3 linked regions of the Danio rerio genome follow. The protein of the gene in region 1 purifies or fractionates together with the protein of each later gene. This does not show direct contact. Links are inferred from orthologs where the notes say so. Each region holds a gene or a part of one and is shown in the gene's direction. Other genes may lie near its edges.

The links.
Region 2: the proteins of sf3b1 (region 1) and snrpe purify together in Homo sapiens (co-immunoprecipitation; 4 studies listed by BioGRID and IntAct, counting the BioPlex papers as one, with this or other methods). This does not show direct contact. The link is inferred for Danio rerio from reciprocal best matches to the Homo sapiens genes SF3B1 and SNRPE.
Region 3: the proteins of sf3b1 (region 1) and snw1 purify together in Homo sapiens (co-immunoprecipitation; 3 studies listed by BioGRID and IntAct, with this or other methods). This does not show direct contact. The link is inferred for Danio rerio from reciprocal best matches to the Homo sapiens genes SF3B1 and SNW1.

What each region holds. Positions count from the first base shown.
Region 1 is NC_133184.1:33,841,295-33,844,327, reverse strand, and holds the end of sf3b1 (splicing factor 3B subunit 1), read left to right. Parts: intron 1-1,490; coding exon 1,491-1,707; intron 1,708-1,816; coding exon 1,817-1,975; 3' UTR 1,976-2,393; downstream 2,394-3,033. UniProt on the Homo sapiens protein: Component of the 17S U2 SnRNP complex of the spliceosome, a large ribonucleoprotein complex that removes introns from transcribed pre-mRNAs.
Region 2 is NC_133186.1:40,127,135-40,130,425, forward strand, and holds the end of snrpe (small nuclear ribonucleoprotein E), read left to right. Parts: intron 1-2,297; coding exon 2,298-2,376; intron 2,377-2,484; coding exon 2,485-2,540; 3' UTR 2,541-2,679; downstream 2,680-3,291. UniProt on the Homo sapiens protein: Plays a role in pre-mRNA splicing as a core component of the spliceosomal U1, U2, U4 and U5 small nuclear ribonucleoproteins (snRNPs), the building blocks of the spliceosome.
Region 3 is NC_133195.1:5,545,809-5,549,469, reverse strand, and holds part of snw1 (SNW domain-containing protein 1), read left to right. Parts: intron 1-87; coding exon 88-183; intron 184-1,104; coding exon 1,105-1,211; intron 1,212-3,661. UniProt on the Homo sapiens protein: Involved in pre-mRNA splicing as component of the spliceosome. As a component of the minor spliceosome, involved in the splicing of U12-type introns in pre-mRNAs.

The sequences.
Region 1 (3,033 bases):
GAACTTTATGCAGGAGGTTGGTTGGTTAAAAAACAACCAACATTATCTGAGGTTTTCACTAAAATTACCAAGTACAACTGTGAAAGTGAAAGATTGAAGCAGTGTACTGACTCTGTGACACGTTACCTGATAGATTCAAAAGACCAAAGAGTCATTAGATAGCGACAAGATTAAATAAATATCATGTTAAACAACTAAAGTGAGACACGATCCAGCTGTACATCCTTGATAAAGGTGGAGGGCTGTTCAGAAATGCTAGGTAAAACATGGTGTGGATATGGATCATTTTCGTTCTAAAATGGCATTTTAGTAGTAAGACGTATTGGTGTAAACGGGGCCTAAGTGTGTATTTTTCGCGAGCGGGTTTGCGACAAGGGCGGGGCGAAGTATCAGCAGTGCTGGCTCAGCATTGTGTTGTCTATTGGCCGTCGACGATGGCATTGTTTATTGGCCCAACCCTAGGATGAAAATTTTTTTGTCTTATGCTTTACCCAGAGTATAAAAATACATAAAAACAAATTAAGATCTTTACTTTAATCAAAACTGTTGGAATGTGACTTTTAACCAGCACAACAAAAAATGTTCCTGAAGACAATCACCTACTGCACCTTTAAGCAATATAAGACTGTTCATTTGAAGCTATTGTTAGTATCTATAGAAGCAATGTCAAGTTTATTGCAGAATATCCATATTGAAGAAGTATTATAGTTGTTTTGAGAGTGTTGGATGACCTGCTCATTGGTCAACACTGTGGTTCATAAGAGTTGGGGAGCTTTGCATGAGACTTAAGATTGGTGCAATTTTTTATTCACTATTATAGATTGATGTAGTTTTTCCAAAACAAGTTAAATTATTAAGCACAATTGTTTAAAAGATAAGTAATTGTCAACAGATATGTTCTGCAATGTGTAAATAATCTGTTAAAGGGAACCTATTGTGCAAACATTACTTGTATAACCATATAATCAGCTTCTAATGGTAAGACTTTATTAATTTTAATGTTTATAATCACACTTCATAAATACTTTAAACTGCGTTCTCCCTTTGTATATGTCATCAGAGAGGGAAGCCCCGCCCATTAGGGACACTCTCCCTCATTAGAATAGGACCTTAGTCTTGTTTTTGTATCTGCCATTATACTGACACAGGCATTCTGTAAAGAGGGCTGGGAGCTCAATCTCATTTGAATTTAAAGCGACAGTCACCCAAATGGCACAATTAGGATCATAGCCTGAAAGGGGCAGTTGCAAAGAGTTATGAAACATAGTTTGTGCAGTATTTTGATCTGAAACTTCACATATACTCTAGGGACATCAGAGACTTATTTCACATCTTTTAAAAAGAGCCATAATAGGCCCACTTAAATGACCTGGGAGCGCACAACATGTCTTTTAACAGATTACTATTATTTTTATCTGACTGTCTGATTTAGATCTTAATTGTTTTACTCTGTAGCCATCTCTAACTTCTGTACTTTGTCTCCATTGCAGAGATCTGGTACACAGACAGACTGCTAGTGCTGTGGTGCAGCACATGTCTTTAGGGGTTTATGGCTTCGGCTGTGAAGATTCTCTTAATCATTTACTCAACTATGTTTGGCCAAATGTCTTTGAAACGTCTCCTCATGTCATCCAAGCTGTAATGGGGGCTCTTGAGGGTCTGCGAGTGGCAATTGGACCCTGCCGAATGCTGCAGTATTGCTTACAGGTGCGTTACATTTCAAACATAGTATCTGGGCTATAATGTTTCTTTGTTTTCATGTAATAATTCTTTCACTTGGATGCTTATCTTACATCCCCTTTTTCTTACTCAAAAGGGTTTGTTTCATCCTGCTCGGAAAGTGCGTGATGTTTACTGGAAGATCTACAACTCCATTTATATTGGTTCCCAGGATGCTCTAATCGCACATTATCCTCTAATCTTCAACGATGAGAAGAACTCGTATGTTCGTTATGAGCTGGAGTACTTTCTGTGAATATATCTATCCTTACATGTGCACTCTCTCTTCCCTCCTATATCTGTGTGTATTTCATGGTTTATAGGACTCGGTCCATTTTTTTATGTTTACTGGTAGATTGTAACCAGCACCACAGATTTTGTGGGTTAAAATTCATTTCTAATTAAAGAACAGGAAAATACAGAAAAAAAGGAGTATGTCAAACATGACGCTTTTAGATCTTTGGATTAGAGTTTTCTGTTTTTACGGTGTGGCTCTATGCACAGTGACGGTAAAGGTAGTAGCAGAGACTCTGAGGAGTGTGATTTATCTTCAGTACATCTTTTAACTCGACGTGTCCTGGTCTGTCAAGTTCGCTCTTTTGCTCAGTCACACATCTGTTCTTACTATAATGTTGCTTAGTTCGGCTGAATAAACGTTTGTGTATTAAAAGTCATTGATCTTTTGTTTGATGATTCGTGCACTACTAAAGTCTGAATTTAAAAAAAAAAAAAAAACTTTGAAAATTTAGTTTGAACAATCCAAGTTTTATCACCAACAAACGGACAGTGTAAGGATTGTCCTAACATTAATTTTGAAAATCATTTCCTGTGTATTTTGTGCTTTATTGGAAGTTATTTTAGTTTCATGTACTATTAAAGCCGGTCCTATTTTGTTTTATATTTGTGTTCATTATCTGACTTGAAGACTCCTATTATGAGCTTTTGTTAGCTTGTTTCCTGCATTCTGTTTAGACATAACAGCGCAGATGTGGAGGTATGATTCTCATTTAGGATTTTGCACAAACATGAGGGTCCTGGATTCTCTCGGTCTCAAACTATGTGAAACCATACTTCAGCAGAAAATTTCAGACAGTTTATAATCTTTACATCTACGTGTAGTGATTACATCTTTTCTATGAAACCGTCAACAATAGCATGTTTTATCAAGGAATTCACTATGTTTCTGACTGAAAATATTCTGTGAAACATCCTTGATCGGTGGCCCGTGGTCATTACATTTAATTATAAAGAGCCCTTGTTTTGTTGTAACCGTACGTTCACACCGAAAGCGGCGAGAGCGTCAAAGTAGCCGGA
Region 2 (3,291 bases), on another chromosome or scaffold:
ATGAGTTATTGTTTTTCCCCTTTTCAAAATATATACTCTGCATAAAAACATTATAAATATACGTTGCACAGTATCAATAAAACAGATTTTAATACAAATTTCAGCAAACAAACACCCTTATTGCCTTTATTCCTTTATTAAGATGTCTATGGTAATGTTTATATTTACCGTTTCATTTAGGGAAACTCCTGAGGTAAATAAGTGATATCTCTGAACTTTAATAATAAATCTAAATAAAATGCGGCGCTTCCCACCTCCAGTCGCAATGACTTCTGGGAATTCTAGCAAGATCGTTGCTCAAGTCTGCATCGCTGCATCCTCAATATCAAGAACGCATTCGGGAAGTTTCACGAGTCCTCTGTTCTTGCAGTCTTGAGTTTTGGAACTGAACTTTGGCAGCTGATGATGACATTACATGACTACAAGGACGCAAGACCACTAAAGATTGCATATTGAGCAACAGCCAATGCATTTAGGCATATAGAAATTATCCAAACGATCTGCTGCTGTTCAAACGGAGCATCAAAATGGGGAAGAAAGGTGATTTAAGTGACTTTGAACGCGGCATGGTTGTTGGTGCAGGACGGGCTGGTCTGAGTATTTCAGAAACTGCTGATCTACTTGGATTGTCATGCATAACCATCTCGAGGGTTTACAGAGAATTGTTTGAAAAGGGAAAATATCCAGTGAGGGGCAGTTCTGTGGGCGCAGATGCCTTGTTGATGTCAGAGGAGAGTGGCCAGACTGGTTCCAGCTGATAGAAAGGCAACCACTCGTTAAAACTGAGGTCTGCAGAAGAGCATCTCTGAATGCACAATACGTCCAACCTTGAGATGAATGGGCTACAGCAGCAGAAGACCACACCAGGTGCCACTCCTGTCAGCTATGAACAGGAAACTGAGGCTACAATTCACACAGGCTCACCAAAATTGGACAATAGAAGATTGAAAAAAGACACCTGGTCTGAGTCTCCATTTCCGGTGACATTCGGATGGTAGGGTCAGAATTTGGCGTCAACAACATTAAAGCATGGATCCATCCTGCTTTCTGTCAATTGTTTAGGCTGCTGGTGGTGGTGTGATGGTGTGGGGATATTTTCTTTCACTCTTCAGCAATTAAGGCAGTTCTGAAGGCAAAAGGCAATCCCAGCACTAGTAAGGTGTGCCTAATAAAGTGGCCGGTGAGTGTAGTTCTTTGTAAGTTTTTAAAATCTATTTTAAAGATAAAGAAGAAAGACACACAGCAGCAGGGTTTTTTAAATATTTAGACCTAATGCACAAACGAATGCAGATATTATGCAATAAGTCGATGCACATCTGACCATTCAAGTGCAATCCAAGGTTCAGTGTATACATGCTCCAGGTGTGTGTATGTATGTGTGAGTAATACCTCATTCACACTAGCAGTGACTTTGAAGCTGCGTGCCGCTCAGGGTGGTGAACTGCTGCAAGTGCAGGTCTGTGTAGGTCTAGAGCACGGAGAACACAACCAGCCTCTGAGCGAGCAGAGAGAGGATCATGTGAGCTCTACTCGCGCTCCTGTTGGCTATCACTCAAGAAAGTTGCTTTTCATAGTTGAAAGATTCTCAACTTGGTCACGCTGCTCAGAAGGTCTCCAGAAGTTGCTCACTCACTTTGCTGGTGCAAGTCACTCGTAGTGTGAATGAGGCTTAAGGCATTATAATAATTTTTGTGACTTATTACTCTTGCTGACTTATTGATATCAAGCCAGTCCTGCTCTTTATTTTCTGATGTACACTCTTTTTATTACCTAAATGTAATTACTGCCGGGCTGCTTTTACCATAAAACATATTTTGGTGGAATGTGGAAGTTTTAAAAACCATTAGACAAAATTTAAGGAGAGTATTTTGATGGACATTTTTAAAAAGGTATCACCAGAAAGAATTTTAAATAATTTATCACAAATTGAACTAAAAAATCATATTTAACTTTTGATGTATTTTTTTGTGAATTTGATCTATTTTGATTTTATATATTCGCCTAAAGTAACTTTTTTTATTGTAATACTAATGTTTTTATCATGTAATATTTTATTTATATCCATTTTGCCACGAAACAGCCAAAGGTTGCTGATGTGGCAATAAATAAATAAAAATAAATGAACACTTTTTTTGTAAAAAAAACTAAATATTTGACACATCAGTGCACCATGCATGATATGCCCATTTATTTACACATTTTAAATATGGATTGTTTTTATGGAAATATGGAAGTTTTTCATATCAACTGTGTCACACGTCTTATTAAAAAGCCTCTATGATTTCTTTTCTTTCAAGGGGTTTGATGAGTACATGAATTTGGTTTTGGACGATGCGGAGGAGGTTCACATGAAGACCAAAAACAGGAAGCCCTTGGGTAAGTGTGAACTTCACACTTGTGGTGAAATATGCATTTCAGAGAAGCAAAAATAAAAGAAATTTATGAAGAAATTCACAATGAGGGCTTTTTTTTTGTATTTAACAGGACGGATTATGTTGAAAGGAGACAACATCACGTTGCTGCAGAGTGTGTCCAATTGATCCACATGAATATTATTTGTTTGCTGTTAATGTTTGTTTTCATTTCTCAATATTTGGATTATTGACTGACCTATAATTGTGGAAACCTTTTTGTTGTTTTCTAAATCTCCAAAATAAACCCCTTTTTCACTGTTTCAGACTACTGTATTTAGTATGATACACAGTATTGTGCCAGTGGCGTAGTGGTTAGTCCATCGATGCATGCACTCTGCTGCTCAAGGCGACCCGAGTTTGATTCCCACCTCGAGGTCCTATGCCGATGTTTTATTTATTTTTTCCCCCTTTTTCTGCTTTGCATGCTTTTTCTGTCAGTACTCTACTGTTCTATCTATTATCGATGAAATCCCCCACAAAAAAAAATAATTATAAAAAGTACACAGTATTGTTTCTGACTGGAAACACTTATGTGACGGCTTCATTTTGTTAAACAAAAAGCAAATTATCAAATATTTGAGGTTGGTGTTTTTTAAGGTATTCCGAGTTCACCAAAAGCTAAATTCAATCAAAAATACAGGAAATATTATTGTAAAATAGGGAAACTTAAAATCTGATTTTATTTGATTATATTTAATTAGTTGAAGATTCAGCAACAGTTCTCTATTATTCAGTGTCAGATGATCCTTCAGAAATAATATGCTGATTTAAAGTCATAACTGTCTTTATTGTAACTTTAGTGCAGGGGTGTCCAAACTCAGTCCTGGAGTGCCGCTGTCCTGTTTAGTTTAGCTCCAGCTTGCTTCAGCACACATGC
Region 3 (3,661 bases), on another chromosome or scaffold:
GTGTTATTTCATATTTTATTCATATATTCAGTGGCTCTTACCTAAGGATATGATTTGTTTTCATAATTTTTTTGTTTTTTTGAATAGGTCATATTTAGTAAATACACAGACATGCTTCCTAAGGAAGTGCTAAACCAAGATGATCCAGAGCTGCAGAAACCAGATGAAGAGGCAGTGAGAGAGGTAAGATTACAATTCAGTAGCAGTTTCTGATAGATTTCACAATTTTGTTTCAGTTTCACAATCATGCTTAAGACTGCTATAATGTACCCTTTTGTTTAAAAATTAAATACTATAATTAAATATTTACACAATTAATGCATGTCATTTTGAAATTATGTAAATGTTAACATTTTTCTTAAGTTACTGAAGTGAACTTTGAATAATAAGAAAGCTTAACAATTTTCTATCAGTGTTGTTTGATTTAATTAACATTAGGTTTGTTAGTCTTCATTTACACACTAGTGTCTAATATCAGGGTGTCTGCAGGGTTTTAAAAGTCTTAATGCTTTTAAAAGCAGAAATTTAGCCCTTAAAAGTCTTAAATTCACTAAAATATAGTGGCATAGGTCATTTCAAACCGGTCTTAATTTTCCTGTGTCCAAGTAAAGCTACCCTAACGGACTGACACCCAATAATCCATCTTAAAACTATTTTGTTTATATTTAAGCTTTTTATTGCAAAATTATACAATTCACAACAGCTTCTAGACATTTTTACAGCAAATTCTCCAAATTACATTTCCTAATCAGGGAATGAAAACTAATGCAACACATCCCTTTACATGATCTTCCATTAATATAAAAACTATTTACAGAAGTAACCAGGCTATTAAAAAAAGTCCCTATAAGGCTGAAATTTCACTCATATTGGCCTTGAAAGGGTCTTAAAAAGTCTTAAATTACACTTAAAGAAACCTGCTGAAACCCTAAATATACATGCACTGGCTTGAAATCCTTAACTTGCATTACTCTTTTGTACTGTGGTGTTAAAACAGCATTGATAATGGAAATATTTATGTTTTAATCAAGCGATCCTCATGAAATTAAATGGTCATTACGCAGAACCAGCATGAATTAACTTTTCTTTTTACCTCTGATGTAGCTTACAGAAAAGACCAGATTAGCTCTGGAGAAACAGGTTTCACAGAAAATCGCGGCAGCTATGCCTGTGCGTGCTGCAGATAAACAGGCCCCCGCGCAATACATTCGGTAAGAGTGACTTGTGAATGATGTGAAATTGTCGAATTTAAATAAATGTTCTGGTTTTAGTACAAGTTAGGCTGTTTTATCAGTATGATGTTCATTTACTTTAAAAAAAATATACTATATATAAACGTCTTTCTTGTTCTCAAAAAGTAAAGCATATCAGCTAGTGTTAAAAAGCTGTGATTATGTAAACGCATGAATAATTCGTTAAAACTTTTGTACTGTTAAAACAGTTTATTGTTTGAGCGTTTAAATTGTCAGATTCCTTTATGAGGTTGGAATAGTTGACCCCTTATGTTTTTTTTATTAATTTGGCTATAAAAAGACTGAAGAGACAATTATTTTCTCTGGTAATGGAGATTATGGTGCATATACTGTTGATGGAGAAAATTTGAAGGAGGCAGTGTATTTTTCTTTATACAGTGCATTCGGAAAGTATTCATAGTGCTTCACATTTTCCTATTTTTTTTCCACATATTACAGCCTTATTCCAAAATGGATTAAATTAATTTATTTCCACACAATTTCTTTAATTTCTAAATTCTACACACAATACCCTATAATGACAATGTGAAAAAGTTGTTTTTTTTTTTATTGTTGCAAATTTATTAAAAAATAAAACGCCTGAAAAACCACCTACAGAAGTATACACGGCCTTTAGGCTGATTTATACTTCTGCGTCAAACGTCGGCGTATGCTACGGCGTTGATGCATAGCCCTTCGCCGTGGCCGGCGGCGTCACTGACGTGCACCTCTCAAAAAATGTAACTACATGTTACAACAACAACAACACGTAGCGCAAGCTCTGTGATTGGTCGGCTTGGTATCGCTGACGAGTCTGGGCGGGACCGAGAGCCGTGTGAACGGCACTAGCCCAATGGAGCGATTGTTTACAAGTGTGGAGTCCCGTGAAGGAGCTCCGGATGGAAAGTTTTATTTTGTGTTTACCTCATAGTTAAAGTTGTTACACGTCCGCCGGTTCCTGCCTCAAAATGAGCGAGTTTGAGCCGCTGGTACATCCAGGAAGTGTTCAGGAAAAGCAAAACAGCAGCGAAGAGACTTCACACAGGAACACTTACACCTCACTGCCAACTAGCATTTCGAAGTGTTAATGCAGACCAACAGTGACAGCGCGCAGAAGTATAAATGCAAAGCTATGGGCGTTGCATGCGCCAATGGTTTCTCCGGTCACTTGACGCAGAAGTATAAACCAGGCTTTTGCGGTGAAGCTCCACTGATTATTCTTGAGATCTTTCAGCAGCTTAATTGGAGTTGACCTGTGGTAAATTCAGTTGATTAAACATGATTTGAAAAGGCATACACCTGTCTATATAAGGTCCCAGGGTTGACAGTGCATGTCAAAGCACAAACCAAGCATGAAGACAAAGGAATTGTCTGTAGACCTCTGAGACAGGATTGTCTCTGGCCACATGGCTGGGAAGGGTTACAGAAAAATTTCTGCTGCTCTGAATACTCCAATGAGCACAGTGACCTCAGTCATCCGTAAGTGGAAGGAGATTGAAACTACCAGGACTCTTCTTAGAGCTGGCCGGCTATCTTGGTGGAGAAGGGCCTTAGTCAGGGATGTGATCATTAACCCGATGGTCACTCTGTCTGAGCTCCAGCGATCTGTGGAGAGAGGAGAACCTTACAGAAAGACAACCATCTGTGCAGCAATCCACAAGTCAGGCCTGTATGGTAGAGTGGCCAGACGGAAGCCACTCACCATCTGGAATTTGCCTAAAGGCATCTAAAGGACTCTCAGACCATAAGAAACAAAATTCTCTGCTCTGATGAGGCTAAAATTGAACTCTTTGGAGTGAATGCCAGGCGTTACGTTTGGAGAAAACCAGGCACCGCTCATCACCAGGCTAATACCATCATTACAATGAAGCATGGTGGTGGCAGCATCATGCTGTAGGGATGTTTTTCAGCAGAAGGAACTGGAAGATTAGTCAGGATAGAGGGAAAGATGAAGGCAGCAATGTACAGAGACATCCTGCATGAAAACCTGCTTCAGAGTGGTTTTGACCACAGACTGGGGCGACGGTTTGTCTTCCAGCAGGATGTTGACCCAAAGCACACCGCCAAAATAAATAGACTGACTTCACAAAACTTGGTGAACGTCTTTGAGTGACCCAGCCAGAGCCCAGACCTAAATCCTATTGATCATCTCTGGAGAGATCTGAAAATGGCTGTACACCGTCACTTCTCATCCAACCTGATAGAGCTTGAGAGGTACTGCAAAGAGGCATGGGCACAATTTCCCAAAGACAGGTGTGCCAAGCTTGTGGCATCATATTCAAAAAGACTTCAGACTGTAATTGTTGCCAAAGGTGCATCAACAAAGTATTGAGCAAAGGCTGTTAATACTGATGTGCATGTGATTTTTCAGTTTTTTTTTTTTTTTTATTTCAAAAAAATTTTCAAATAAATTCACATTGTCATTATGG